Caenorhabditis elegans: one gene and its partners. The protein of the gene in region 4 interacts with the protein of the main gene of each other region in a pairwise test. Each region holds a gene or a part of one and is shown on either strand. Other genes may lie near its edges.

Evidence for each region.
Region 1: the proteins of C40A11.2 (region 4) and col-10 interact in a two-hybrid assay, tested with the Caenorhabditis elegans proteins (one large-scale study listed by BioGRID).
Region 2: the proteins of C40A11.2 (region 4) and C18E9.9 interact in a two-hybrid assay, tested with the Caenorhabditis elegans proteins (one large-scale study listed by BioGRID).
Region 3: the proteins of C40A11.2 (region 4) and F21D5.6 interact in a two-hybrid assay, tested with the Caenorhabditis elegans proteins (one large-scale study listed by BioGRID).

What each region holds. Positions count from the first base shown.
Region 1 is NC_003283.11:9,162,175-9,169,414, reverse strand, and holds col-10 (Cuticle collagen 10), read left to right. Parts: upstream 1-4,107; 5' UTR 4,108-4,124; coding exon 4,125-4,235; intron 4,236-4,285; coding exon 4,286-5,059; 3' UTR 5,060-5,123; downstream 5,124-7,240. Other genes in the region: putative aldehyde oxidase gad-3, read left to right, coding at 1-108, 155-387, 443-971; B0222.11 (uncharacterized protein), read left to right, coding at 1,374-1,517, 1,822-1,965, 2,071-2,145, 2,199-2,349, 2,413-2,568, 3,033-3,200, 3,252-3,484; col-145 (Putative cuticle collagen 145), read left to right, coding at 6,426-6,536, 6,591-7,240.
Region 2 is NC_003280.10:8,986,397-8,994,026, forward strand, and holds C18E9.9 (MARVEL domain-containing protein), read right to left. Parts: upstream 3,149-7,630; 5' UTR 3,143-3,148; coding exon 2,924-3,142; intron 2,424-2,923; coding exon 2,319-2,423; intron 2,267-2,318; coding exon 2,111-2,266; 3' UTR 1,963-2,110; downstream 1-1,962. Other genes in the region: C18E9.8 (DUF7754 domain-containing protein), read right to left, coding at 1-415, 461-715, 761-1,093, 1,152-1,625; ooc-5 (Torsin-like protein), read left to right, coding at 6,777-6,870, 6,913-7,020, 7,070-7,253, 7,305-7,630.
Region 3 is NC_003282.8:8,737,839-8,745,555, reverse strand, and holds F21D5.6 (Ribonuclease H2 subunit B wHTH domain-containing protein), read left to right. Parts: upstream 1-4,167; 5' UTR 4,168-4,174; coding exon 4,175-4,310; intron 4,311-4,356; coding exon 4,357-4,448; intron 4,449-4,525; coding exon 4,526-4,769; intron 4,770-4,816; coding exon 4,817-4,939; intron 4,940-4,990; coding exon 4,991-5,268; 3' UTR 5,269-5,416; downstream 5,417-7,717. Other genes in the region: F20C5.7 (uncharacterized protein), read left to right, coding at 1-162, 222-316, 363-518, 641-869, 933-1,145; F21D5.7 (Signal recognition particle 54 kDa protein), read left to right, coding at 1,858-2,027, 2,075-2,264, 2,365-2,544, 2,589-2,833, 2,892-3,079, 3,127-3,200, 3,249-3,527, 3,603-3,767; mrps-33 (Small ribosomal subunit protein mS33), read left to right, coding at 5,530-5,673, 5,725-5,961; F21D5.4 (HTH CENPB-type domain-containing protein), read right to left, coding at 6,596-7,003, 7,048-7,233, 7,282-7,467; F21D5.5 (uncharacterized protein), read left to right, coding at 6,182-6,230, 6,278-6,330, 6,380-6,452.
Region 4 is NC_003280.10:2,144,002-2,151,934, forward strand, and holds C40A11.2 (BTB domain-containing protein), read left to right. Parts: upstream 1-2,948; 5' UTR 2,949-2,961; coding exon 2,962-3,081; intron 3,082-3,298; coding exon 3,299-3,547; intron 3,548-4,311; coding exon 4,312-4,423; intron 4,424-4,502; coding exon 4,503-4,663; 3' UTR 4,664-4,791; downstream 4,792-7,933. Other genes in the region: C40A11.6 (BTB domain-containing protein), read right to left, coding at 461-633, 896-1,010, 1,057-1,305, 1,462-1,581; C40A11.7 (BTB domain-containing protein), read right to left, coding at 4,805-4,983, 5,498-5,612, 5,786-6,034, 6,190-6,309; C40A11.8 (G protein-coupled receptor), read right to left, coding at 6,551-6,934.

The DNA of each region.
Region 1 (7,240 bases), on a different chromosome or scaffold from region 4:
AGTCTTTTGATTAATTTAGACGGATCTGTTCAATTATCAATTGGTGGAACTGAAATGGGTCAAGGATTGAACCAGAAAATGTTACAAGTCTGCAGTGAAGCATTGAAGGTTTTAAATAAAAATTAGAAACATCTTAACTAAACTAATATTACAGAGACCAATTGACACCATCACCATAGTTGATTGCAGCACTGACAAAGTGACAAACGCACCGGAAACAGGTGGAAGTCAGAATGCAGATACTAATGGATTGGCAGTTTTGGCATGTTGTAAGAAAATCATGTCTAGGTTACAACCGATTATTGACAAAAACGATGGAGAATGGGAAAAGTCTATCCGAGAAGCTTATGGTGCCTATGTACCACTACAGTGTACAGAATACGGAACGTAAGTCGATTTAGTCAAAAGGTTTTAATTAAAAAAAAATACATTTTTTATTCAGAGTGGAAAGGGCGAAATTCGGTGTTGGTGAAATGGAGTCTCCTTACAATACAACTGGAGCATGTGCAGTAGAGATGGAAATTGATACACTAACTGGATACAATCGTGTGATCCGTGTGGATATTGTCATGGATGTCGGGGAAAGCTTGAATCCGGCCCTCGATATTGGACAAATTGAAGGAGCATTCATACAAGGATATGGTCTCGTAACTTGCGAAAAAATTACATTCAATAAAACTACCGGACAATTGGATCAAAACACTGCAGGAAAATATAAGATACCAAAAGCCAGTGATGTTCCAAAAGACTTTAGAGTGAAACTTCTGGGCATTAATAATGCAAATGGAGCACAAGTTTACTCGTCAAAAGGAATCGGAGAGCCACCACTAATGATGTCATGTGGGGCAGTTCATTCGTCAATAATGAATTGTATTGATAATTGGAGAAATGAAAATGGTATTCATGAATTTGTGGATACAATTTCACCACTCAGTGCTGAAAAAATTCAAGAACTCTGTTCAAAGAAATAATTACATCTAATTAAATTTTATTTGTCTTCTTATAAATAAATTGTTGTATATATCTCAAGCCTTTTGTTGATATTTAATCCACAGACCATGATATTGATCATCTATTAATTCTTCGAACATTTCCATTCAGAACACTTTTGTAACAATTTAAATCGTTTTGAAATGAATTCGATGTGTTTATATTTTAATCAGGAGGCGTTTGGATTTATAAACGAGCGTCCGACAGGATTAGTGTGCCACTTTCTTTTTCAGTCCACACTTGTCCCCTCTCAACACTTTTTTGTTATTCTCTCACTTTATCCTCACCTCTCGCCTAAAGTTCATTTCAAATTTTTGATTCATTTCTTACTGTGTGAAATCAAGAACTAGACGGAGTCGGAGTGGTTGGCTCGAGATGCTTCAATGAGTCGACGGACTGCGTCGAAGTTACTAGTTTTTGTATTTTTATGCTCTTTATGTTTTGGAACTCAACGGTATGATATGCCGAGAAAAATTGACTTGTTTAATGATTTGATTACACAATCGACAACTCCAGCATCTCCAAAGGTGAATAATCAAATATACAACTTTCAAACCAAAGCATTTATAATTTTTGTAGTTTGTTTTAGTTTTTAATTTTCAAGTTTTCTTTTGATAATTGTTATTCTAAAAAATTGAAAGCAATGGGTAGTTTTGTTCAAAGTTCAAATTTATACAACAACGTCTACCTACTAAAAAATGGTATATGCCGAGTTTTAAGTTGATTCGAAAGTTGATCTCGTATAAACTAGCTGATCTGAACTTCCGAACTCAAAGTTTTTGCCGAATTAGCACGAAACACAAGTTCCCAAAATATTTCAAATGTTTTCAGTGCCAATGTCTTCCACCAACAACTCCATCCACCCCTCCAAACTGTATTCCTTACGATTCTCGATTGCAAGCAGCAAGTCTTGAAGAAGCTATTGTGGCATTCCCAGATCTTACCATTACTCGACAAGAGAAGACACAACAATCTGTAATTCTTTTTTTTTCATTATGTTTTCGGATCTCAATTAACTTTCAAATTATGGAAATTTGTTTTAAAGCTTTTTCGGAGTGTAAAGTAACTATAATATTTCAGACTGCAACACTAAACAACTGCAAAACTAAACAATGCCGTGATTGCTATAAAGATCTCAGAAGCCAGTTGCGAAAAGTAGGAAGCCTCTTGCAGAATCGCTTCTAGAAATGTTCACTTCCAATTTTCAGGTCGGTCTTCTTCCAGGAACCATTGACCAGGTGTTTCACAATCAGCGGAACTTCACAACTTGTCAAAAATATAGATTTGCAAGACAGGATAAAGGAGTCTATGAGAAGAAAAAGAAAGCCAAACAACATTATGATTGGGATTATGTAGAATGTAAGAGAACATTCAGTGTTCTTTTTTTGGAAAAACTCTCAAGTACAAATTGAAAGGTTTCAGATGATGAAGATGAAGATGATGATTACTTTTGGGATGGATTATTTTGGAAGAAGAAGAGAAATGTATTAAAGAAAATTGTAAAACGAGACGTTGAAGCTACTACTGCAATTTCACAACCACCTAACAGTACAGCAATGAACTCAACCGGAATTATAGGTTTGTATTGAAGACATAATTTTTTTTCTAAAAACTTCTTATTGGTATATATTTTTCAACACTCTGAAAATAAGATATATTCAAAACAATAATTTTAAGTGACCGTCATAAATAATTATGAAAAGAAAACAACCATTCAAAGGTTTTTTTAAAAATTTTTACTCAAAATGCGTGTATTGTTCTCCCTCAAAAAATTATTTCCGGGTCGTGAATTCCCTTACGAGAATTTCAATTCCCCTCGGGTGGTCATCATCTCAAATTCCAATCTTCTTTTTCATTTTCAATCTCTAACAATTTCAAATTACTAGAACCCACAAACCAATGTTCGATAACGGCATGCAACCTTGAGAGAGTCTCCGATTTGATGTGTAACCTTCATTAAACCCTGTAATACAAGTCATGTCGACAAACCAGATCTTCATCCCTTCAACATTTGGCAGAAAAGTGCAATTCGTCTTTTACAGGAATTCGATTTCCGATCTCTTGCACAACTCGAGGCGTCACTCCAGATGGATTAGGAACTGTTTCCCTTTGTAGTACATGTTGGGTGTGGCGACGTCTTCCGAGTACCTACTATCCTGCATATCTTAACGAAGTCGTGTGCGATTATGCGGACACATCGTGTCTGAGTGGTAGTGAAAAGACAGAGAAAGTGGGGGAAAAAGAAAATACCATTTTTTCAGGATACGCGTCATGCCAAACTGGAACCCAACAGTTGAATGTGCTACGAAATGACAGCGGGAAATTGATTCCAATATCGGTATCAGCTGGAATCAATTGTGAATGTAGATTAGCAGTTGGATCAACACTTGAATCACTCGTACTTGGACAAGGAATTTCCAAAGCAATGCCGCCAATTGACACAACTAGTACAAAACCACCAAATTTGGCAACAAGCACAACAAGCCATTCCTAATTTATTTGGGTATTTTACTCTTGATAATTGTATTAATGATCATTTAATGTTGTTGAATATCACACATTTAACATATTCAATCGAAGAAATATAACGACGTTCCACAACATCCAGTATACGTCTTCCTCTGTATTGAGTTTTATTCTTTGACATTGTGTCATGTTTCAGAACATAGAAATATACCAAAGTGTTGAGAAGCATTGTATAATTCAATTGAATCTTTTTCAGTTTACCTCTTCTCCTTTTTCACCGTTTCCGTCATCAAAACGCCGTTATTCAAGGTGAGATTATGGCGATAAATGAATGCCATTCACAAAATTGCAAGACACTATTAAAGAAGAAGAGGTTTAGAGATTTGTACCGATCATAGCTTCTTCTGAGAAAGCGACCTTGGCGGCCGTACTTGAAGAGAAGCAATTTTTATCGCCGTAGAAGATGTTGCCTGCCACCCACCCTGTACGTTGTTTTTTTGCTTATCAACATCTGAATTTTGTTGTCTTTTGCACCGCCTACTTTTACTATGGAATTTGAGGAAATATAATATGAATTGAAGAGAATACGCTACCTGTCAAAGAAACGTCACGGTTAGGGTAGTATAAAAGGGAAGGGTAACACTGAATAAGGTACCTGGCTTTCAGTCATGGAGAAATTTCTTGTAACCCTCTCTACCGGAGCTGCCTCCATCGCCGTTCTCGCCGTTCTTTTCACAGTTCCATCCCTCTACAACACCATCAACGAGGTTCACGATGAGGTAATAACTATTCATTATTTATTGCATTTTTTAATCTAAAATATTTATAGGTTCTCGATGGAGTCTCTGTCTTCCGTGTTGAGACCGACTCTGCATGGACCGAGATGATGGACATCCAGATCACCGTTACCCCACCAACCAAGCCACGTGTCAACCCATTCAACTCTATCTTCCGTCAAAAGCGTCAAACATTCTCTGGACTCCCAGCTTGGTGCCAATGCGAGCCAACTAAGCCAACTTGCCCACCAGGACCACCAGGACCACCAGGACAGCCAGGAGCCCCAGGAACCCCAGGAGCCCCAGGACCAAAGGGAGACGACAACACCGCTACCTTCGCTCCACTCACCTGCGCCCCAGTCTCCCAAGACTGCGTCAAGTGCCCAGAAGGACCAGCTGGACCAGCCGGACCAGAAGGACCAGCCGGACCAGCCGGACCAGACGGACAACCAGGAGCACCAGGAAACGCTGGAAACCCAGGATCCGACGGACAACCAGGAGCCCCAGGAGACAACGGACAAGACGGAGCCCCAGGACAAGACGGACAACCAGGAGCCCCAGGACAAGACGGACAACGTGGATCCGGAGCCCCAGGAGGACCAGGAGCCCCAGGAAACGCTGGACCAGCTGGACCAGCCGGACAAGACGGAGCCCCAGGACAAGACGGACAACCAGGACCAGCCGGACCAGCTGGACAAGATGGAGCCCCAGGAAACGCTGGATCCGATGGACAACCAGGAGCCCCAGGAGGACCAGGACTTCCAGGAAACGATGCCGCTTATTGCGCTTGCCCACCAAGATCCGCTGTCTTCGTCTCCCGCCATTAGATTGGTTCAAGACAAGCATCGTCTCTTTTCTTTTTATCAAAATAAAATCATTTTCATTCAAATTTTACTTTTAATAATACATCAAACTACAAGTTAATGTTTGCCGAACACACGAGAGACATTCTTATTTCAATAGTCATTTCGAAAAATTTCACTTTGTCTTTTTGGTCTGCCATGAAGATAAGTGTAATTCCACCTGACAAGAGTGCGAGGAAAGAGGCTGAAAGGTTTCATTGTTTAGTAGACGACAAAAATGTTGGTTGTAATAAACATAAAGTAAATGAAGTGTGTTTTTGTTAAGAATGGCTTAGAAAAAAGTGTAACTTAAATATCATTATGCAGTCTGTGACTAAAGGTCACTAATTTTTTCACAAGATGAAATGGGATAAAAGTTTCGCCAAGTTCGGACGAGTTTAGAGTCGAAAATTTGAATACCGCTTTGAGAAATTATCAATTTTTCTACGATTTAACTAGGAAAGACATCAAGGCTTTCAGTCATGGAGATTGCGAATAGTAGGAACACTAGTTTATAGGTACCTATCAAGTAATAAGAGCATACACATGTACAAGGGTTTTGCTGGTTTTTGCACCCATCGGCTGACAAAATACCTCAATCAGCGAAACAATATTCGGTAATATACCAAGATATGCAATACGAATAGTGACTAGTGAATAATTAATTTACACTAGTTTTCGCGAGTCGTAACATTGTCAAGTTGACAAAATTTGAGTTTTTACCCGGAAATGGATTATTTTTTCAATCTTCAAACTGTCATAACTTTTTTTGTGAAACTTTCTAGACATCTCATTTTAAAATGAAGTGCTTTCGAGGGAGATTTCGGAGTCTAATAAAGCAATGACTTACATTTTGTAAGGCCAGATATAAAATGTTCATCAATGTTTTGTTTTACATATTCATCAACAACCATTCTAAAAATTCAGTCAGGCGCACCCCGTGAGCGATCCAAGAGGTTTAATTGTAAATGTTATCATCCAGTCAAGGAATTTTAAGGTAACGCAAAATATTTCTAAATAACATCCCATCTGACACATTCAGATCGCAACATATCATGCAATCGCCTCGAGAGAAAGTTGTCCGTCCTTCTTCCTCTATCACCTACTGAGAGAAAAGCATTTCATCTTTGTCCGCTTTTTCTCTACGGCCTGCCCACTTTACTATCTTCCTCGTTTGTGGCTTCTGAATGAGGAAGTTGAGGCAAGAAAGACAAGAAAAAAAGCGAGTTCATGGAGACAAATGGAATATTTCATTACACATCTCTATGCAAAAAAAAACTGTATGAGTAATTCAAAAAGAGGAGTATAAAAGGAGGCAAGATAACTAGGAAAGACACCAAGGCTTTCAGTCATGGAGAAGATTCTTGTAACCTTTTCTACCGGAGCTGCCTCCATTGCTGTTCTTGCTGTTCTTTTCACCGTCCCATCCCTCTACAACACCATCAATGAAGTTCACGATCAGGTTTATATATATATACTTTTACAAAATAGTTAAAACAAAATTTCAATTTTATAGGTACTCGATGGAGTCTCTGTTTTCCGTGTTGAGACCGACTCTGCATGGACCGAGATGATGGACATCCAGATCACCGTTACCCCACCAACCAAGCCACGTGTCAACCCATTCAACTCCGTCTTCCGTCAAAAGCGTCAAACTTTCTCTGGACTTCCAGCCTGGTGCCAATGTGAGCCAACTAAGCCAACTTGCCCACCAGGACCACCAGGACCACCAGGACAGCCAGGAGCCCCAGGAACCCCAGGAGCCCCAGGACCAAAGGGAGACGACAACACCGCTACCTTCGCTCCACTGACCTGCGCCCCAGTCTCCCAAGATTGCGTCAAGTGCCCACAAGGACCAGCAGGACCAGCCGGACCATCAGGACCAGCCGGACCAGCCGGACCAGACGGACAACCAGGATTCCCAGGACAACGCGGTAACGACGGATTCCCAGGAGCCCCAGGAGCCCCAGGAGACAACGGACAACCAGGAACACCAGGACAAGACGGATTCCCAGGACAGCCAGGAGCCGACGGACAACGCGGATCTGGAGCTCCAGGAGCCCCAGGAGCCCCAGGAAACGCTGGACCAGCTGGACCAGCAGGACAAGATGGATTCCCAGGACAAGACGGAGCCCCAGGACCAGCCGGACCAGCTGGGCAAGACGG
Region 2 (7,630 bases), 6.8 Mb from region 4:
TTGACTCGGCTCTTTGAATATTGACACGGAGCAAGTTTTTGAGATCAAACTTGTCTCCAAACATCAATTGCGACATGTACTCATCTGGTGTAATTGGTGGCTCAAATTCATTTTCCAAGTTTTCCTTGACAATATTCCATCCATGATCGAAAGCAAAAACAATGCAAGCACGAATCATATCCGGATGAGGAACTTCTCCCATTGGATGCATGTAGGTGAGAAGTTGAACAAGAACTTCGCCAGGGATCAAGTCTCCACGAGCACATTCGCGATGAAATTCTGCAGTGTAACGAGCAATGTATTCTCCATTTTGACCAATACAAAGCATTTCCTTTCCATGAGCGGCAAGTATCCCACTGTTGATGTAGAAGATGGTTCCACGGAATAGAATTGCAGACTTGGTAGTGTCACCCTCCTAAATAAACTACTTTATATTAAACTTTGTTCAACATTGGATTACCTCCAATTCAATAAATTTCAAATTGTTCTCGGGCTTCTTCAAAGTTGTCGCATCGGGCTTTGCATTTCTTGCCAGCAAGATAGCGGGGCACACAATTTTCGTGTAAACTTGACGACCACAGAAGTTCTCAGGTTCAAATCCTGATTGAATCATCTGGTTCCATGTTCCGTCCAAAGCTGCACGGAATGCAAGTTCACTGATAGCAGGCTCCAATCTATTCTCAATCGCTGCTTGAAAGCGTTGCAAGAATGTCATCTGAAAATAGTTCATTAGAAAATTTCAAATAAAAGAACTTCAAACCGGTCTGTAATTGTAGTCAATGAGATGTTTCGACAACTGATAAATCAAATTGTCACACTTGTAACCAACGGCTCCAGCTGTCAAACGACGGAATGATGCGAAAATTGGACGGCGAGTAGGATATGCTTGGTAAAGAAGTTCGAGGAATGCTTCCTTTTCAGAGCAAGTTGCTTTGATAGCTGGGCAATCCGTACGAGATGCGTACTCTTTTTCCGATTTTCCCAAATAATCCGACAATAGGGAGAGGATGTTTGAATGAACACGAATACGAGATCCATCGTCGAATTCAATCACTTCATCACCTTCCTCAAAAGTTGGGAGATCCAGGTACATCTGAAATAGTTTATAATTTACAGATCAATAGATTATAATCTCAAAAAAAAAAACTCACCAAATTCAACACTCTCATTTCAAATTTCAAAAATTTGACGTCACTATTCTGAATTTCCACGTTCAGAGGATATGAAAATGAATCAAATTTATAAACATCCTTATCAACAACATTCAAAATATTCGACTGACATCCAGTTTTGATTCTGAGTTGAACAAGAAGTTGCCATTCAGCAGGAGTTGTTGCTTGCACAGAAAGATATACACGACGAGTACCGTTTTCCATAACTTGCTTGACTCGAAACTGAAGTTTTTCGAAGATGAATGAGTCCTCTTCCTCTCCATTTGGTAGATTCTGATCATCAACGGCAATGAACACAATTGGATTCGGATTCTCCACTGTTTCCTCCACCTCTTCTTTTCCTCCAGCTTCTTCCCTCAACGCCTTCTGACTCTCCTTCAAAATTTCCAAATCCATTTCGTGAAAACTGATTGCAGTTTCAGCAGACAGAACTGACAGCTCCGATAGCGACATTGTTTTGATTTCGCTTCTACGTCTTGTAAATTTTGTGAAATAAATTTATTTTGTAGTTTTCTGGTTATTCGGTTGTTTTGTTGTGACGTGGTATTTGAAAAATGGAAGGCCACGGATGTCATTTTTTGAAAATTAATTTTGAAAAGAAACGCCAATTATTTTTTCATTTAGCCATTTTCAACTTCAACTGCGTCTCAACAAATGTCATTACACATTACCATACTTGCAAATCGGGAAATGAAGCTTTTGCAATGAGGGCGAGGACAGATGCGGGCTAGATGCACTCTTGTTTAAGCCTCGCCGTTATCCTCAGCTTCCAAAAATATTTTAACTAGTTAAAGGAAACACTTTATTTTGTTCAAAAATGTCAACATGTCAAATGTAGGAGAGCAAGAGAAAAGAGTGAGAAAGAAGGGGTTTTTGTGATGTCTCGTTAAAAAATAAATAAGAGCTATAAACCGTTAAAATTCGTTTTTGTTCAAAGCTTATGCAGGGTTGGCTCCGGCTGGATAGACTGTTGGTGGTGGTCCAGCAGTTGCTTGGTTTGAAGTGTGTGAAGAAGAAGTTCTTGAAGCAGACATTGAAGTCCAAGCCATGAGTGCTTGAAGACCATATGCTAGTACAAGAAGTACCGATACAATCTGAAAATATAATAATACTGATTCTTAAGTTTTAGTATCTTAAAAAACAAACAGTTGCCAAAAGGAACCAAAAATTGAAATGATAGAAGATATTGCAAAAATAGTAAATAGTGTTGAGAGCACTGCATACACAGAATGCTCCACTGTATGCGAGTTCCTGAAATAAATTATTTTAAAACTTTTTGCCTGCATTTTTATAACATTTTTCACATCAATGAAACATTTGATAGTAGAATCAGTATTATAGAAAAATTACGGTAGACAAGAAATCAGACAGGCAGGAATGAACTCGTCCTGATTATCATGTTAAAATAGTTGCAAATATTTTAAGAGACATTACTAATAGCCTAAATATATTCGAACCTATACATATTCTTAGCTGATGTGAATAGATATTGCCTATGGAGAGCGAGAGTTCAGCTTTTAGCAACATTTTGCAACATTTAGCAACATTTTGAGCACATTCTGAAGTCAAATCAAATAGTAGTACAAATCGATTTAATCAGCTTATTCTTTAATTTCCCGACTATCAATATAAACAATCGGCGACAACTCATTAAACACCTCTCAAATAAGTTGTAAAATTTCTGCCAAAAACGAGTGAAAATTTTACCAAGAAGTTACTGCATTCGCTATTGATTTAAAATTCTCACTCACAATAATCACAAACTGTCCCGATCTTGTAAAAGTTAAATCTAAGAAAACAACTGCAACAACTGCGATAGCCGCGAGAAATTCCAGAATCGATGTGAGGCAAATGAACCAAAACCATCCACGGACTCCTGGTGAAGCCATAAAGATAATTTGAAGAAGTGTGAGAAGCAGGAGTGCTGGTTTCAGCACTCCAGGCATTTCCATCATATCTTTGTAAGCCATTGTTTTCTGAAAAATCATAAAAGAGTTACTGAAAAAAAACAAGTAAAATATCAAAAGTTTCAAAAATCAATAGGGAACCAATGGAAATGAGGTAAAATCGAGTAAACAGAAACAAGAAACAGGTTTCAGAGTCAGCCGGTCACCGAAACATTCTGAGTCAGCATAAACTACCTTTTCAGCAAACACTCTTCTCTCTCATGATTTTGTGATAAAGTATTGTGTTCTAGAAAGACTCCTTTTATCGATTGGGAAAAAAGGACGAAAAAAGGAAAATGTATGTGAAGAACAATAAAGGAAGAAAAATAAAGAAATAATAAAAGTTGGGAAATTTTGAAAGAAAAGGAAAATGAGGAAAAGGAACAGAACATACAAATTCAAGGCGTTTGTTTTGTAAGCTTAATTCTATTTCAAAAAAACTTTAAGAAAAAGTGTACGATTAATTTTGGACGGCCAGTTTTAAGAGTCTACTTATAAAATTCAACATTTAGAAAACAAAAGAATATTGTGAATTATTATTATGAATGAACGTTATGCTTCGAATTTTTCTGTGAGTTAAAAAATGTTTATCAAAATTGGGGGGAGCAAAAATATTAGAGCCAAGACCAATTTTCGAAAAAGTTGTTAGTGCTCTACTTATGGAGAGCCTCCGATAAATTTCCAATTTCTCTATAAATTTCCATGATTTTACCAATATTGAGTATTTCTGAGTATTCAAAATTTTAAATTTCTGGTGACCAAATTTGAATATTGTACTCCTAGAAAACACAAACAATTGCTACTAGTTAAAAAAACAGCACAGATCACAGTGAAACACTAACTATTGTTTCCAACCACGACTTGATTAGGTAACTTTGATTTCAATTTATTTAGACATTTACAAACAAACAACTACGTCATTGCATGTATTTTCTTATGAAACACTTGATAAACTCGTGAAACTGTCTAAAATGTAGGAAGAAAGTCAAGTGACATTCACTATCAATATAACCTTCAAATTGTGAAATATTAAAAGTTAGAGAGCTCCGTGTGCAGGAATGGATTGTGCCACATCATTTATCCGCACAATGCAAACAAATAATTGAGTCATTTCCATTCAAACATGGATCACCACCATCAAACACACATTCATCGAAACGTGGAATATGTGTTTCATTTATTTATGCACGATTGGTTCGAAATATGTGCAACTAAAACTTCATTGTAAAAAATAACTTTCTTTTACATGAAAACGTAGCTAATTGTAAGATTATTTTATCATTGGACAAAAATTATTTGACTTTTTTTAATCTGGAAAAAAGTGGCTAACATCTAGGTTTCACATATCAAAACTGTGTATGTCGTCCAAAAAAGTATCCTACGAGTTTTATATTTTAAAGATGCTTCAATCGTTCGGATCAGAACATTGTTTAGGTTTTAGCCTACAGTAATCATAAAATTTGAAAAAAGTACCATATTTAAACAACTTGGCAGGTTGCCAAAACTTTGAAAAACATTTTGAAAATCAAAATATTTTGTAAGAGTTTATATAAATCATTACTGAAAATACTTTAACTTTAAGATCTAACTTCATTTTTTCCAAAAGTCTGTCCCGTTTAAAACACTAATTTAAATAAAGTTATCCCCATCAGGGATATGCGCAAATTATACAAATTAACCTATTGCGGCATGTTGATCCAACATTTTTAAAAATTAAAACGTAGTGTCAAGATGTAGAAAAATATATTATTAATCTGCAACATATATTTGTTCTAGGTTAAAACTGCGTAGGTATGTATGCTCGAAAATACATGAAAGTTGCCAATTGTATTTTTGGTAATTGCCCAACTTTGATTCAATTTTTGTTTTCAAATAAATATATTTTTGTATTTTACTAAATAAAACTGAAAACAATCGGAAAGTTGCTAAATGGTTTATTAGTTTTTTGTGATTTCCAAACAAGCTATTAGAAAGTTTAATCAAACTTTCTTTTGTTTGATGAAATTGAAGACCTTATAAAACTTTTCTGAAGGTTGAAATATTTTTGAAAGCATTTTTAAATAGAGTTATACATATAACAGAAAAGCTAATACCCAAGGTAATTCAAATATTAATCGATTCGTGGAAAAGTGTGAAAAGTGAACTTGGAATAGTCGGGGGAAAATCAAAATCAAATAGAAATAGTTAAACATAGAGAGACCCGATAGATAGAAATAGAGAAAAGAGTTGAAGTATTTTGAAAAACTTTGATAACGGGGAAGAATCGACTGATCACGCACAACCATCATCAGCCAACAGCAGCACCGCCCCTCCCCGCATTTTATGGCAACAAGAGCAAATAGTTTATCATTCTTGTCACCATCTAGTATAGAAAAAGTACAACATTTTTGTGGTGAACTGAAAAATGTGACGGATTCCAATTGACTCATCCAGATGTGAATTCAGAGAATAATTGAACATGTATTGTAAGAATATGAAAGAGGAAAAACACATTATTTCGGAATGTGCTATTCCAAAAAAGATCCTGCAAAATTTTTTTTCAAACAAAGAATCAATTTGCCTGATTACAAGAATATACCAATTTCACAGAACGATTGGATGATTTCGGAGATTGTCGACGACAAAAATGGAGAGGGAGATTATTAGGAGCTAGATATCGATAGGTATCCGAAAAAAAGTTTTATTCTAACATTTTTACTCCTCCTCACTTCTGAAAAAATATTGTTCGACTTAAAAATTTGAAATTCCCAGTACCCTTCCTGGGCGCGTTCTGCAGACATAGCTATTACCGTATTTTCTTAATTAGTCTTTCACACTCTAAGGCCACTTGAACATTAGTATGCAGGTTCTAATAGTCTTTCGCTGAAGTTTTGACAGACCAGCGATACCTTTTGGAAATTTCAGTAAATTCGTCATTTTTCGGGCAGATTAATCTTAAAAAACGTCCAAATAACCGATGAAGTATTGGAAAAGTATGTTTTTTTTAGAGCTTTTCTTGGAAATAAATCAATAAGCAGTATTGGTGTCTTTTATATATGTGTCTTTTATATACCCATTCTATAAGCTTAAAGGAGGGCACATTTACGCGGAATGGTCTCGGCACGCGCTCCAAACTAAGTTAAAAACGTTTGGCATGTGCGTCTTTAAAACTACTGTAGAGGTTTTGCAAGCGAATTTTTATCGATTTCCTTGTTTTCTTCCTATTAATCGTTTCTTTCAGTTTCTTTTCCAATTTTCTAGAAATTATGTGTTCAATTTGTGTTTATTAGTAATAATGAATGTTATAGACAAGAAAATAAGCATGTTCACTAGGAAAAACTCTCTTTGATTATTAGTTTTCTGTATTTTATTTGTACCGCTGTTTTTTTTCTTCTTTCAATAATTTTCAATTTTTCTACCCAATTAACAATTGTAGGCTTCCAAATTCCACTTTCCGAAATTTTTTTTATGGGTTACGGTGTACAAATCTGCAAACAGCGCCACATAAAAATGCACGGATATTTTTGCCCGTTTGCAAAAAAAAAATTTTTGCCTTAATTTTATTATAATTTTATCAAATTCATGTATAAAACTATAGTTTCAATTCCTGGAATTAAACAAAACTTCTATTTTTATTTTTCGTGTCCTTTACTCGAGCGTAATATCAATTTTCAGGTGGATGAAACTTGATTATGTTCTTCTCCTTCTTTTCCATTTGTGCTTTGTCAACACGGAATTGATAAGCGTGATTACCGGTAAGATTAAAGATTCCGGTGAGAAGAAGTCGAATTTTTAATTATATTCGGTTTTTTCAGGCACGACTATCGCGATATCGGCCGGAGCGTTTTGGGGTCTTAAGGATCGTTTAAAGTGTTACTTATATGAATGCTGTCATGAACCTGACGTAAATTTCAATTATCACAGTAAGATATTTTCCACCTTTTCACTGAATTCAATTATTCTTAATTTAAGCACTGGACGCGGATATTGCAAATCTACTGTTTGGCCAACATTTGGTAAAGGACGTCGTTGTAAATTCCATAAAATCTCATTGGTACAATGAAAATCCCCGAAAACCACTGGTTCTTTCGTTTCACGGTTACACAGGCTCAGGAAAGAACTATGTCGCTGAAATTATAGCAAACAATACGTTCAGGTTCGGAATTTGTTAAATTTTTAGTTGAAAAACAATAATTTCTAATTCCAGGCTTGGACTCCGCAGTACTTTTGTCCAGCATATCGTGGCGACCAATGATTTTCCAGACAAAAATAAACTGGAAGAGTATCAAGTTGAATTAAGAAATCGGATTCTAACAACTGTACAAAAATGTCAACGATCAATATTCATTTTCGATGAGGCTGATAAACTACCAGAGCAGTTGCTAGGCGCAATTAAACCGTTCCTCGACTATTATTCGACAATTTCTGGCGTGGATTTTCGAAGAAGCATCTTCATTCTACTAAGCAATAAAGGTGGAGGAGAAATAGCAAGAATAACAAAAGAACAGTACGAAAGTGGCTATCCACGTGAAC
Region 3 (7,717 bases), on a different chromosome or scaffold from region 4:
TTTAGAGTAGAAAAAAAGATTGTGATACGAGATTTATCAGAGACTAATTTATTCGAATATATTGCTGATCAAAACTTATTATGGCTTGATGAGGGCGAGGAAAAAAGTTTTGAAGGATATTCTAAAATTCCAGCTTTCGAACAAGTTTCGAAGAAACTTGCGGTGAGTATCAAATATTTAAATTGATCAGAACACTCGCTTAAGATTAAATCTTATTTGAGGCTATCGGAAATGATAGAACTGCAATCTGTGAAACTGATACTTTAATTGGGCAGCAAGTATTATGCGGGCTCCAAGAGAAATTTAATGATGAATCGTGAGGTTCATTATTAACTACGAAATATGAATATTGTGCTTTTCAGAGTGTGTGATAGTGATTCACTAACATATTTTGCGGATATCGACGATTTGAAACGAGAAAATGAGTTGAATGCAAACTTTACGAATTGGAAATTATTATTTCCAAGACAGGATCCAATTGAACGATTTGTAGATCATTTTATGGATGCGTGTGTTAGGTAAAACAAATTATATTTTCGTGTAGCACATAAACCTAGAGATGTACATACCTATACAACTGAACGATCAGATATCGACGAAACTACAAAAGTATAAAGTTTAAGGTCATATAAAATTTCAGAGAAGATCGTTCTTGCTTCAATTGCAAGTTGGATCTGAGATGTTATCTTATTCAAATCTGGACACAACTCACACAAATACATTCAAAAACTAAAAAAGTGGATGAAGATCATATGAAATACGTACCACAAAATTGGTTTTGTGAAATGGAAGAGATGAATCAAAAATTCACTTTTGTAGATTACTCGCTTTTTGCAAAACCAACTAATCCGGCGTATGCAGAAATGCTTGTGAGTTAGAGTTTCTAGACATACAAAATTAGCTTAAAACGTTTTTATTTTTTAACATTTAAGCGGCCTGACAGAATAGACAACGACGGATTATTAGCTGATTCTCTTTCTTCCTACGAGAAAATCAGCAGTTTTTATAAATCATTCATTTACTCAAGAGCTGATGTCTTGGATTTGTTCACTAAAGTTTATTATTACGACTATATGGTATTGCAAATACCTCTACCACAGTTGAAGGATGCGGAAGTTCGAGATTATAGAGAAGGATGGCATTGAATAAATCTATGGAACATTTTTCATTATTAAATTATCAAAATTTTCAAAAAATGAATTTCCTTTTTTTTGGAACGTGCAAAAATCCATTAATTGCCTTGAATCTAATCAATGTTTTACAAAACGCATGTTTTTGAGCAAAATAATATTTTTCAAAGCTTTCAAATCATGAGAATTCAATTAAAAAAGGATAAACAAACAGGAAAAAAGTTGAAAATAAAAAATTTCCCGCATGCACCAGAAACGCGTCAATAAAATCGTCAAACGCGCAAGCGTTACTCTTCAAGGCGCAACAACGGGGTTCCACTCGTCAATTTTTGTGTTGAAATTTGAATTTTTCACGTGATTTTAACTGTCTGAAATTGTTATCTATAAATATATATTTTCCATTTATTATTGTTTTGAAAAAAGAATAAAGAAACATTACCTTTTTAAACTTCCAATACCTTGCCTTTCTCGGCTCTTCGAGAAGAAATCTACAGTTTTCCATTTCTTCTCTACTCTTTGTGAAAAATCTGTTGTGTCTTGAAAAAACCTATTGTGAAATACCACTATGTCGTCAAAAAATGATTAGGAAGCCGAAGAAAACCACAGGGACTGAATCTCCTACAAGAATTATCGATTTTTCTCCAAACTGTTTTTATGGTGCTCTCGATTTAAAACGCGTTTAATTCTATGCTTAAACAAATTAAAGCATTTCAAATTTCAGTTCAAAATGGTTTTGGCCGATTTGGGGCGGAAAATCCGAAATGCGATCGGAAAGCTCGGTCAGAGCACCGTTATCAATGAGGGGGAGCTGGATTTGATGCTGAAAGAAGTCTGTACAGCTCTTATTGAATCTGATGTTCATATTCGTCTTGTAAAGCAACTTAAGGACAACGTGAAGTAAATTTTTACGCTATTTAAGATTTAAATTTAATAAATATTTTCAGAAAAGCGATTAATTTCGAAGAGATCGTCGGAGGAGCAAACAAACGTCGGTACATTCAGAAGACAGTATTCAATGAACTGCTGAAGCTTGTGGATCCTGGTGTAACTCCTTTCACACCAACAAAAGGACGTCGCAACGTTTTCATGTTTGTTGGTCTTCAAGGTTCCGGTAAAACTACGACTTGTACCAAGGTTCGTTCCATGAATTACAATAGAAAGCTCACACACCATCAAACATTATATTTTTTAATTAGTAAACTTCCAACAACTTTTCAACACTTTTCAAGTTCAGATGGCGTATTACTACCAAAGAAAAGGATGGAAAACATGTCTGATCTGTGCCGATACATTCCGTGCTGGAGCTTTTGATCAATTAAAGCAAAATGCCACAAAAGCTCGTATTCCCTTCTATGGATCATACTCTGAAATTGACCCCGTAAAAATTGCCGCCGAAGGAGTAGAAAAATTCACGGTAATTTATCACAGAAAAATGGTTTAATAATATTTGTTTTGCAGCAAGAAGGGTTCGAAATCATCATTGTTGATACATCAGGTCGTCACAAGCAAGAAGCTTCACTTTTCGAAGAAATGCTCCAAGTTTCCAACGCAGTTACACCAGATAATGTTGTTTTTGTGATGGATGCTTCTATTGGACAAGCTTGTGAAGCCCAAGCACGTGCTTTCTCTCAAACTGTTGATGTTGCCAGTGTTATCATTACAAAGTTGGATTCTCATGCTAAAGGAGGAGGAGCTCTTTCTGCGTGAGTTTTTACTTCGAGATCCTTTATCGTTTTGAAATTGCTCAAATACTTTTTTCAGTGTCGCTGTCACCAAATCCCCAGTAATCTTCATCGGAACAGGAGAACATATTGATGACTTTGAGATTTTCAAGCCAAAATCATTTGTTCAAAAGCTTCTAGGAATGGGAGATATTGCTGGCCTTGTTGATATGGTCAATGATATTGGAATTCAGGATAATAAAGAATTGGTGGGAAGACTGAAACAAGGTAAATTTGATTTCAAAAATTTCAAAAACTGAAAAGAACATTTCCAGGACAATTCACTCTTCGCGACATGTATGAGCAATTCCAAAACATTATGAAAATGGGACCTTTCAGTCAAATTATGGTTCGTTTCAATGTTTTATAACGATACCTGAATACTTATTTATTTCAGGGTATGATTCCTGGTTTTGGATCAGAATTTATGACAAAGGGAAACGAGCAAGAATCCGTCAACAGGCTGAAGAGAATGATGACTGTGATGGATTCTATGAGTGATAAGGAATTGGATCATCCAAAAGCATCTGAGCTCTTTACAAAAGAACCAAATAGAGTTGCCAGAGTTGCCAGAGGATCGGGATCTCATCAACAAGAAGTTCGAGATCTTCTCGCTCAGTACAAGAAATTCTCTGATGTTGTTAAGAAGATTGGATCAATTAAAGGACTCTTCAATGTAAAGTTTTGTTCCTATTCGACAAATTGAAATTTTGTAATTTCAATAATTATTTCTAATGAATTCATTTTGCAGGGCAAAAACGGTGATATAAACCCAAAAAATATGAATCCAGCGAAAATGGCTCAATTGAATCAACAAATGGCAAAAATGATGGATCCACGTGTGTTGCAGCAGATGGGTGGTATGGGAGGCCTTCAAAATATGATGCAGCAGATGGCAAGAGCTGGAAAAATGTGAAGAAATGGATGCAATTATTTTCTGTAGTTTTTGAAATGCCTGTTCCCAGTTCCCACAATTCATTCTGACTAAAACGTTTTTTAATAATATCAATATGATTTCTCGATTTCCCTTTCATCAGAATGTTTCCCAAGTTCATTTTTTGTCTAGCAGATTCTGTGATTCTAATTAGAAACAATTTAGTTAAAGAATAATTTATTTATTTCTTTTTTCCCTTTTGAATTTTCCTGAATTAAACTCGTTTTTTCCCTTGGCTCATCGGTGTAAATATTCACATTTAAAAATGACTGAAAAACATATGCCTGTTTATTTTCTATCTCATTGTTCTCGTTTTTTGACGAATTTCGAACTATTTTCCATAAGTTTAGATCAATTACAAATTGTAATAAATCAGTTTCAGAACAAGAATGCCACCAAAAACTAGAAAAACAAAAAAAGAAGACGTCGAGGAAGAGGCTGTTGAAGAGATTTTAGAAGAAACTAAACCTGCAAAATTACCAGAATCCGATGAGAGTTATTCGAGAAAAGTTGTCATTTCCAAAGGTGATTTCCTTTATTTAATTTCAAAAATGAATGTTTTTGTTTTCAGAGGGCAATTTGCCAAATAGCCGAATCATCAAACTGCGGCACCCGAAGGAAGGACTAGCGCTGTTCAGAATCTCCGAAACGTGCTTTGATGAGGTAAAAATATTGGTCAAGCTTTCACAAAAAACCTGAATAAACTTTTAAATGAGAATAAACTTACAAAATTTATGCAGATTTTCGCTGTCAACGACGGTCATCGATCATTCTTCTACGGTGAGAGTGTAATCGAAAACGGAACAATTCACATATTCACTCCATACAATCTCGTCTTCATTTGTCTCCCATATCTACAAAAGACCGCAGGAAAATTTGTGGAAATTGGCGAAATATTGGTAGATGATCAAGTTGACGGGATCAAAGAATTGGCTGAAAATGAAAGAATTCTGAAAGCATTGGAAGCTGTTTCAGATGTCAAAGGTTTGGAAATATCAGTTCGTGGAGATGGAAAAATAAAAGATTTCCAGATGTTCTCGATGTCAAACTATATCGTTTGAACGATCAAAAAATGTTGGATTGGATGAGAAGGAAGTTTGATTCTCTCAAAAAACTTCTAGAAAGTGATGCCCACAAGTCTTTGTTGTCATGTCGTAAGTTTCTCGTTTTGCTTCTTAATTTTACCAAAATGAAATAAATTTCAGCGGAAGCATTCGATCGTTATGTTTTCACATTCCTGTCTGAATATCTTTCTTCTGATCTTGCATTGATTGTTAAAGATCATTTGAATATTCAAGATGCTACTGTCTCCGAGAACATCGATATGAGTATGAAACGAAAAGCTGTGGATGACGATGAGCTTGAAGATAAGAAGCAACCTGTCGCAAAGAAACCAAAAGAATCAGTACAATCAAAGAAACTTCAAGCCGCCTCGAAGGGAACCAAATCAATCAGCTCATTTTTTGGAAAAAAATCTGCTTGAATCTCTATTTTCTTTATTCAACAATTTCGCATATAATTTCATAACATTGACCTCAATTTATCTATGATTCCGATGCTATTACTTTGCTCAATCTCAATTTTGCATTTCACACATTTTTTAATTCGTGTACTAAATAACTGAAACTTTGAAACGTTTTCGATTGAGAATACTCCTTCCGAAATGGGTCCTTTGCCTATTTATATCTATATTTAACAGTTTCATCCGATTTTAACGGATCAACAATAAAAAAAATATTTTAAGATGGCGGCACGTCTGGCTGCATCACGAATTGTGCACGCCGGCCGCGGAATCTCTCAACCTACACCATTCGGAAAACGAATGGATCGATTGTCAAATCGAGTATGGGGAGAGGTTGTCATGCCAACTGACACTAAAAGTTTAAAGGTTTTTAGATGATTTTTATAAAGAAAAGTTTCTGAAAATTTTCATTTACAGGTTGTCCGAGTAATGTCTGCAGAACCATATGAAACCAAAGAACAATTATCACCGAAATACTATCCAAATCTTCCGATGTTTCATTATTTGACCAAAATGCTACGATTCCATGGACTATTTTTTGATGATCACGTAGTTTTCAGAGATGTTCAAGATAATTTGAAAATTATTCGCGGAAAAGTTGTTCGGCCACCAATCGGTCAAGGAAAGCGTGCACAATTGAGAGGAAAGAAGTAGTGTGGATGTTCTCGAAGTTTAAATCTAGATTAGAAGTTTTGTTGATTTTTTTTTTACGTTTGTTTTAATTGAAAATAAATTCTTTTTGAGGTTTTGCTACATTTTTCCAATAAAATTAAAGTTTTTAACACAGAAAATATCGATTATTGATTTTCTTTTTAATTGCTCCACAAATAATTGGCAGACGTTGCTTTTTTCAGCAGTTTTCAGACTTAGAATTATGAAAAGAGCAATGGATGGAGCAAAAAACGAAGCGAAAAAATCTAAAGGTTTCGATTTTGCAATTTATCTGAAAAAGTTCATCTCCGGTTTACAGATACTGATTTATTTGGACGACCACTGAAAAAGACTGGATCCTGGGAATCAAAGGTTTCAAAAATAAACTTCATTAAAAAAAACTAAAGTCTGATTTTTCCAGGACAACGGCGATTTGATGATTTTCACCCATTCAGAATGTGAAGGAAAAGAGAAAATTGCCGCATTCGATATGGGTAAGAATTGGTCACATTATTTTATTGGCGAGATTTAACTTTCCATGAGTATTCCAAATTTTGATTATGAATATCAGATATGAATTGTTTCAATGGAAAATAACATGCTATAGTTTTAGAAAAATATGAACGATAACAAAAAATTAATAAGATTTCGGAGAACGGTTCACAGATGTTTCGGTTTCTTCTACACTGTCTTCCTTCCCATTAGAATCCTTAATAAGCATCTCCAATTGTTGAAAAATGTTTATTTCTGGCAATTTCGATGATTCATTTGGTTTCTGTTTTACTTCACTCTCTGTGGTTGTACTATTGTTTCCCTCGACTTTTAAACTAGTTTCTCCATTTTCTGCATTAAAATCTTCTAGGAATCCTGAAACATTTCCTTCTGATATATTCTTCCATTCATCACTGTTAATTAGTTCAAAAAGTGATTCTTCAAGCGTTTTGTCTGTTGTGCCATCACTAGTTGATGGCGTTTTTGGGCTTGAACTTCTTGCTTTTATCAATCCGTGTCGAATCATAAATCTTTGAAGCCAACCATTACTTGCCTAGAAAATATTTTATTCGAAATTCGAGTTTAAATGTTTCAAACCTTAAAGTCTGCATTTCCATTAATTTTCTTCGCATATTCCTTGATATCTTTTCCCGAAATTTTCCCGTTTTTCGAAGCAATCCAATCTTCAACTTTCTCATCTAATTCCACATTCTTTAGCGGTCTTCCTGCTCCACCGAGCCTCTTTGCTCCTTGTTTTCCTTCTGATTCGAATGCTAATTCGTGCTGAAATTCCAGAAATTTGTTGATAGAACTACTGTAGTTCAGAAATACCTTCAAATGTCTCCATCGTTGAATACAAGCTCTTGCAACTCCATATTTCTTCTGAGCTTGACAATTATTTGTTTGTTCAGCAAATCGAATAACTTCATTTTTGAATTCGAGTGTAAAATTGGCACGCTTCTTTTTTGGTGGTGGCTCGGATGAAGTTTCAAGTATTTTAGGAGAGATTTCAGTCATTTCTGAAGTTTAAAGCTGAGAATTCTACATTTCGGTTAGAATAGTATTACTCAGATTCGAAATTTTGCGATTTCCTACGCAAAAATGCGATACTAGGTCTTGGCACGACCGAATATCCTTTAAAAAGTACAGTAATCTCCCTGCCTCATTGGTTTGATTTTCCGATTTTCACATTTTTCCCAAAAAAAAATTGTTTTTTGTGAGACAAATCAAAAAATACTAAAATTTTATGCAAAATTCAGGAAAAAAG
Region 4 (7,933 bases):
CAAAAGCTCATATTTTTCAAAATTTTGACAATTTGCCAAAATTTGACCGGAAATTATGAGTGTTTTATTATGATATTTGGTTGTTTTGGATTATTATAAGTGCATTTAGATAAAATCCCCACTGGCGCTACTCCACCTATAAATGTTGAAATTTTCCGACACTTCCAAAAAATTTCCACAGGTTTTTTGAAAGTTCAATAAAAATTGCGAAAATTTTCTTTGTAGTTTTCTGGAACTTTCTGAAGTTTTCTAAACTTTTTAAAAACGTTATAAAAATATCAGGAATTTACTATGATTTAATATGACTCTTTATTTGACGGAGCTCTGTGTTGAGAGCCTACTAAATTAAATTAAATTAGAATGAAGAATACATTTTAAAAATGAATTTTTTGAAAAATGTGGGAATACATTAGTAAACACAGAGATAAATTTGAATGTGTGGATTAAGACTTTTCGATATTCATTCATCGTTCAATACATCACCGATTTTTTTCTGTAGGGAAGGCAAGTCTTTAAAAAAATCGCAACATGGATGCGTAATATTGTAAATTCGAAAGCTCCAAAGTGGTTCAGGGGTGAGTATCAATTTGTTTGTCAAATCTATAGGCCATGGTTCTCGTTTGTTCATTGGCTCTGTAATCATCATTATTTATATATTTTTTTAAAAACATGGTTCTACTGTTGAAGTTTGTAGTCTGTGACGTCAGACTACAAACAACAATTGTCAAAGTTTTGGCGTGAAAATCAAATATTTTGAGAATACAATTAGGCGGAAAGCTTGATTGTTTTGAAATACACCATCAAAGACTCAATTAAACGTAAATTTAAAAACAAAGTATTTAGAAAAAAGTTCCGTGACAATAACAAGCGCGGCCGTTATAAAATATAAACTCACGGAAATAAATTTCCAGATATTCACGGTTTTTCTCTATAAATTCAGAAAATTGGAATTCTTTTGGGACGAAAATGATATCGTTATTGTGAATTAAGTAGTTGATCACAACAACTGGCTGAAAAATATTACTATCGGAAGAGATGGAAACAAAAAACACGTACCTTATTGGTGCTGGCGATGATTTGCAGCAATTCATGAGACGAGCCATAAGTTCTGATTTTGTTTTTTATAGGTTCACACAAGTCTACCAAATGCTCCAACAAGTAGAATTCGGCTTCTTTTTTCAGTTCTTGTAGTTCTTTTTCAGAGTCTGGAAGTACTGTAACACCGGATCTCATGTAGTTTAGCACAGTTTCAAAGTACTTTGGAGAGCGATCAATGAAATAACAATCGGAAGTGTCCTTTTTAACCTGAATTTGAAAAATTAAACGCAAATGTATTGGGAACGATCACAAATGCTCACGTTCGATCCTGTCCTGTTATTTTCTGTTTTACAGGTTTTTCTACTGTATCCCTGATTTTCGTCTTGTTTCGTTGTCGTTGATTTAAAAAAAATTTAAACTAACCGGAACATTAGTCTCAATTAATGTTTTGAAGAATCCATCCTGCTTGGTCAGTGTCGATTTCCACGTCTCGAATACAGATCCGCCGACATTCAACTTGACAATTGTTTCAGAAAAGCACATATTGAGTAACGTGTATTCACAGAGAATAAATTGATGAACAAATGAGTCGAGTGGTCTCGCTTTACATCGATTTTGTGGCCATCTGCTAACCCATTGCTCTCAGCACCACGGGGAGGCTGACCCCAGGGCTCCCACCACGATTGGTATTTGCACAAGCACCGTAATCTTTACATTTTTGAATTACAAGCCACATTTTGAAGCATTCTGGAGATTCAATGAATTTTTTGACAGCGAATAATGAAATGGAAAATTGATCCTTAATTTGGAAATTGTTATTTTCTTTACTTCAATAAAAGTTTAACGTACTCATTTGTCTGATGGATGTCTTAACCTGTCTGCGTCTCAATGGAAGAAAATGGTCCGGGTTTGGGTTCATCTGACCGTTAGTGTGTAAGAGACCCCCTCTGAGCTCATCGATTTTTCCTGACCATCTGCTCACAGTAAGTACGGCGGGAGAGCAACGTTTGGCTAATCTGGTATTGGTGAAAATGTTCTCTAATTTACCTGAACTCTCTCCATTTTCCTATGACATAATAAGTTTTCCTGTAATTTTCTAAAAAATTATCCCAAATTTTCTGGAATTTTTTAAAATTATCTGTTTTTTTTTTTGAAAATTTTGGCAGTTTCTGAACTAGATAATTTGTGATTGCTACTTAAGTCCCTTTGGTTCCAAAATGGCCAAATATCATAAGAAAACGTTTCAAAAAATTTTTGAAAATTTTTTATTTACTGCCAAAAAGTGGCAATTACTCGGTTTTTGCCACTCATAATTTTGGAAATCCACCAAAAAAACAATTTTTTTCTACATTTTTTATGTTTTAATTTTGTTTAAATTATTTGTATCAAAACATTGTAGGGGTCGAAAAATGCGACATTTCTTTAAATTTCCTCAACAGCTCATATTTTTCAAAATTTTGGCAATATTCCAAAACGTTGACCGGAATGGAACTTTCTGAAGGTTTCTAAGCTTTTTAAAAATGTTACAAAATTATCTGAAACTCCCTGATTTTTTTTTTGAAATGTCTCAAATCTTTTAGAACATTCTTAACTTTGTTGAAACATTCTAAATTCTCTAAGAAATGTCTAAAATTTTTCAGAAAACTTCTAGAGTTTTTTGAATCTTTCAGAAGTTTTCCGAAAAGTTTTGATTTTTTTTTTAATTTCTGCAAATTTATAAAATTCCCAGAAAATTGCTAGACTTTCGAAAAAAAATGTTTGAAGTCTTCTGAGTTTTTTTTCGAAATGTTCTGAAACTGTCTGAAAAATTTTTTTTTTTTCTGGAACTTTCCCAACTTTCTCAGATTTTCTGCAACTTTCTACAGCTTCCTACAATTTTCTGCAATTTTCCTCAAATTTCGCTCATTTTCAGCGATTTCCAAAATGGATTCCATAGTTGAGCCCATTAAACTAGATATCGGTGGTACGGTATTCGAGACGTGTAAACTGAAGCTCACTAAATTTGATGGTTTCTTCAAAACTATGCTCACAAGTGATATTCCGGTAACTTTCAATTTTATTTTTTATTTAATTTTCCAACTTTTAAAATTTTCCTAATTTTTCTGAGAGATTCTGGAACTTTCTGGAACTTTCTGGAACTTTCTAGAATGTTCTGAAACATTCTGGAACGTTTTGTAAGTTTCTACAACTTTCGAAATCTTTCTCAAAGCTTCTGGAATTTTCTAGAACTTCCTGCAACTTCAGAGATGTTCCATTCTAGGTCTCAATCGACGAATCCGGGTGCATTTTTGTGGATCGGTCCCCGAAAAATTTCAGCCTGATTCTAAAATATCTGAAAGAAGGTGATGACGTGGAACTTCCAAAGTTTGAACGAGAACTGCAAGAAGTGAGAAGAGAAGCCGAATTTTACCTTTTAGACGGTCTAGTCGACCTATGTGATTCTTTTCTTAAAATTCGGTCATATGAAACTTCGGAGGAGCTTCTTCATATTATTGCAAACTGCAAAAAGGTATAGATGACGTCATTGAGTGGGCAGGGCTTTAGAGGCCACGCCCCTTTTGTAAGCTGGGCCTCCGTAGTTCATGTGACGAAATTAACTTTGGAAAATTTTTTTGTAATTTTCTGAAATTTTTCAGCAATTTCAATAACTTTTATAAATTTTTCTAAAATGGTCTAGAACTTTCTAGAACTTTCCGGAACTTTCTAAATGTTTAAAAAATTTTATAGAATTTTCAGAAAAAATTTCAGAAATGTTCTGGGGCTCATTGAAACTTTCTGACAGTTTTCAGCTGATTTTGTAATTTTTATGAAATGTTCTGGCACTTTCTGAAACTTTCTGAATGTTCATAACTTATTATAGAATTTTCTTTAAAAAATTTTTTAAAATTATTTTTAGGCACGCCCATTTGTGGGCGGAGCTTAATAAGCCACACCCAATTGTTCTCTTCTAGACTTTAAAATGTTTAGCACGAAATTCAAAAATCAAGTTCCTTGAAATATTTTGGAGCACATAAGAGGCGTGGTTTAACAAGCTCCGCCCACTAAAGAGGCGGGACGGGATTGGCTCCGCCCACTAAATGGGCGGGCGGGGTGAGCTCCGCCCACTGAGTGGGCGGGGGTTATAAGATAACGTCAAAATTTGTTCGCAGTTTTGATTCCCAACAAAATTTTTGACCAAGAAAGGGGCAGGGCTTGATAAGCTCCTCCCACAAAATGATCATAGCCGAAAATTTTGGCGCTTCATTCAAATTTTCGAAATATTTTTTTTTTCAGACAGCAATTCTTGTGATCAGCTATACAGTTCACAATGATCACCTCTGGAACTCTCCAGAATCCTTCAATTTTCAATATGTTCTCGAAAATCCAAAGTTGGATGTCTATTTCAGTGAGTTTTTGACCTGATTGGTCGAAAAGTGGGCGTGGCCGGGCGCTGATTGGTCGAATAATTTACAAGTGATTTTCAGAACAATGTGAATGCGAAGATGAATCTGATAAATCTCGGCGTGAAGATGGAGTCAATAAAGGTCACCAATCATGGATTTATCGGCTGTACTCTCCGATTAAAGGATTTAAAACATTTACAAATTTTGATAAATTGGAGAAATATATTAATGGGAGGCTGTGAAAATCGGGAATTTATGAATAAAATGTTGATCACTTCTAGACGCCGCCGTACCTTTTTGAGAAGTTTTCGAGAATTTTCATTATAAAACAAATGTAAAAAATTTGATAAATGCATTTGAAATATTAAATAATATGTGGGTATTCATTCTCCGTTCAAAATACTATCGATTTTCTTCTGTAGATCATCCATAGCTGTTAAATCAACGCAACCTGAATGCGTACTGTTGTAGATGCGATAACTCCAAACTGGTTCAGGGTAATATTTCATTCCGCGATGTCTCCTTAAATCTTTTGGCAGAGGTTCTCGATTATCCATTGGTTCTGCAAAATAATTTTAAGTAATTTGTTACAAATACGCTAAATAAATTAATCAGACATGTTTCAACAAATTGCGATGAAAAAACATTTTTAGGTCAATTTTTTTCCAAAAATTTTTTAATCTAATTTTTATAAAATTTTAAAAAATAAGTCAATTGTGTCATTTTCTATATTAAAATCAAAAATAAAAATTACGGTTGTCACTGTGAATTTCTAAAAATTGAAGTAAACTTTGCGTTTTTCAGTTGAAAACAGTAGTTTTATTTATGCAAACTGTTATATCTCTAAGAAAACATATGGCACTTTTTAAAAAAAATTACCAAAAATATCTCTGTAAATTTAACTTTCAGAAAATATATTTGACATTTTTGTAGCTAATCAGGTTCTAAAGTTATGCTAGTTTTCGCCAAAGAGACACATTTACAGGCCGGTGTAGTATCCTCAAAACTTACAATTTTCGGAATTTTAATGATTTTTTTAAAATTTTCCGAAAACGAAAAAAATCCAAAAAACTCACGAAAATAGATTTCTACCACTGAACTGTTTTTCTTAACAAACTCATCGAATCGAAATCCTTCTGGGATGTATATGATATCGTTATTATGGGTTATGTAGTTAATCACAACTACTGGCTGAAAATGATATCAAAATGATATTAAAATAGCATATATTTATATATATATATATATATATATATATATATATATATATATATATATATATATATATATATATATATATATATAACTGAAACTGAAATATATACATATATATATATACATATGGGAAAATAAATAACACCTACCTTCTTGGTGCTGGCGATGATTTGCAGCAATTCATGAGACGAGCGATAAGTTCGGATTTGATTATTTATAGGTTCACACAAGTCTACCAACTGCTCCAACAAGTAGAATTCGGCTTCTTTTTTCAGTTCTTGTAGTTCTTTTTCAGAGTCTGGAAGTACTGTAACACCGGATCTCATGTAGTTTAGCACAGTTTCAAAGTACTTTGGAGAGCGATCAATGAAATAACAATCGGAAGTGTCCTTTTTAACCTGAATTTGAAAAATTTGACTTTTTTGTTATATCTGGAGAACGGGCCACAAATGATTTCACTAAGAATATATAGGCTTACAAACCGGCCTGGACTGGACTTAGACTTGATTTTTGGACATGATTTCCTAGTTGGCGAAAAAAGAAACAAACTAACCGGAATATTCGTCTCGACTAATGTTTTGAAAAATCCATCCTGCTTGGTCAGTGTCGATTTCCACGTCTCGAATACAGATCCGCCGACATTCAACTTGACAATTGTCTCAGAAGAGCACATATTGAGTAGTCACAAAGAATGAATACCTTGTGTTACAGAAGATTCCTTCTGTTGCTTTTTATCGATTTTTTTGACGACCTGCTCATCGCATTCCTCTGAGCACCTCGGGAAAGGTGACCTCAGTTTTCCCAAAATTGTGTGAAAAATTATTTAATTATTTATTCCGTTACAAGGAAATATGTAGATATAGCTCACAATCAACGAAATATTAAAAAAAAACCTATGAATTTTAAACCACATACTAAAAACTAAAAATCGTCTCCTCATATATCCATCTTCGAGATTTCCTCTCCCAACTACACACTCCTCTCCTCAGCACCATATTGTCGGGCACCATCTCGCTAAACGCAACCTCTTCAGAGTAATAGGCCAAGCAAGCCACGTAGATCAAGGGAATCGATAAGATATTGATGATCGGAAGGATAAATCGGGTTACATCGCGAATCTCATAGGCTTCCTCCTGATCTGCCCAGGGGACCAGGCTGATGAAGCAACGGCCTATGTAATAGGCCTCGGTTAAGGCCATGAAAATAATTATGAATAGCTTCTGAGCAGTTGTTGCCTTGGCTCTTTTCAGTAGAGTGTAGTGCGTGGGCGTGAATGGCTCATTGAATTGATCCAACATTATTATATGTAGGTAATACTCGATAGCAACGATTACGACGCAGACGAGTAACTGAAAATTTTGAAATTGACGTAATTTAAGTATCCGATAAGCTACAGAAATTTTGAATACACTTTCTGAAAGTGAAACATTTGGGCATACTTTTGGTAATTTTTCAAAAAAAAATTGCAAATTTGGCTCTGAGATATTATAGTTTGAATTTGTAAAACTATAGTTTTCAACTGAAAATATTATAATTTTATTCAAAATTTTCAAAATTCTCAGTTGATGAATAACTCATTTCACAAAATTCCATAAAATCACGTGGTGTCAGAATGTCCCATTTCGTTATGATCTACCAGAAATGCGGGAATTTAGACGCAGATTTTTCAAGTGGTTTCGCATGGTTAAGAACGTGCTGACGTCACACTTTTTGGGGAAAATTTTCCCGCATTTTTGTAGACCAAACAGCACCACGAGAAAATTAGAACACATTTTTTTTAAGAACATTGTCAGAAATTTGTTTTTAGTCAAAACATTCTGAATTATTTAGATTAACTACAATAACGTGCTAGATTATTTGAAAACCCAGAAAAAGATCAAATAAATTCAATACTAAAATTTGGCTGACCGCGACGCGACCGCACCGCACCACTAAAAATTTCAAAAGTTACCGAAAATAATCAACATGAGATTCAAGTTTCAGAAAAATAACGGACAACTCAAAAATCAAGTTTTTAGAGTTTGAATCTCAATGCTAACGTTAATTGAAAAGTCTGACCGCGACGCGACCGCGCCGCATCACTAAATTATTTCAAAGTTCTTTGAAAATAGTCGTTACGGGTTTCAAATTTCAGAAAAATTGACGGAAAACTCAAAAATCGAGTTTTTAAAGTTTGAATCTCAATGCTAAAGTTAGTTGTAAAATCCGACCGCAACGCAACCGCAACGCAACCGCAACGCAACCGCAACGCAACCGCACCTTAACGCGACCGCAACGCGTCCGCACCGCACCATTCA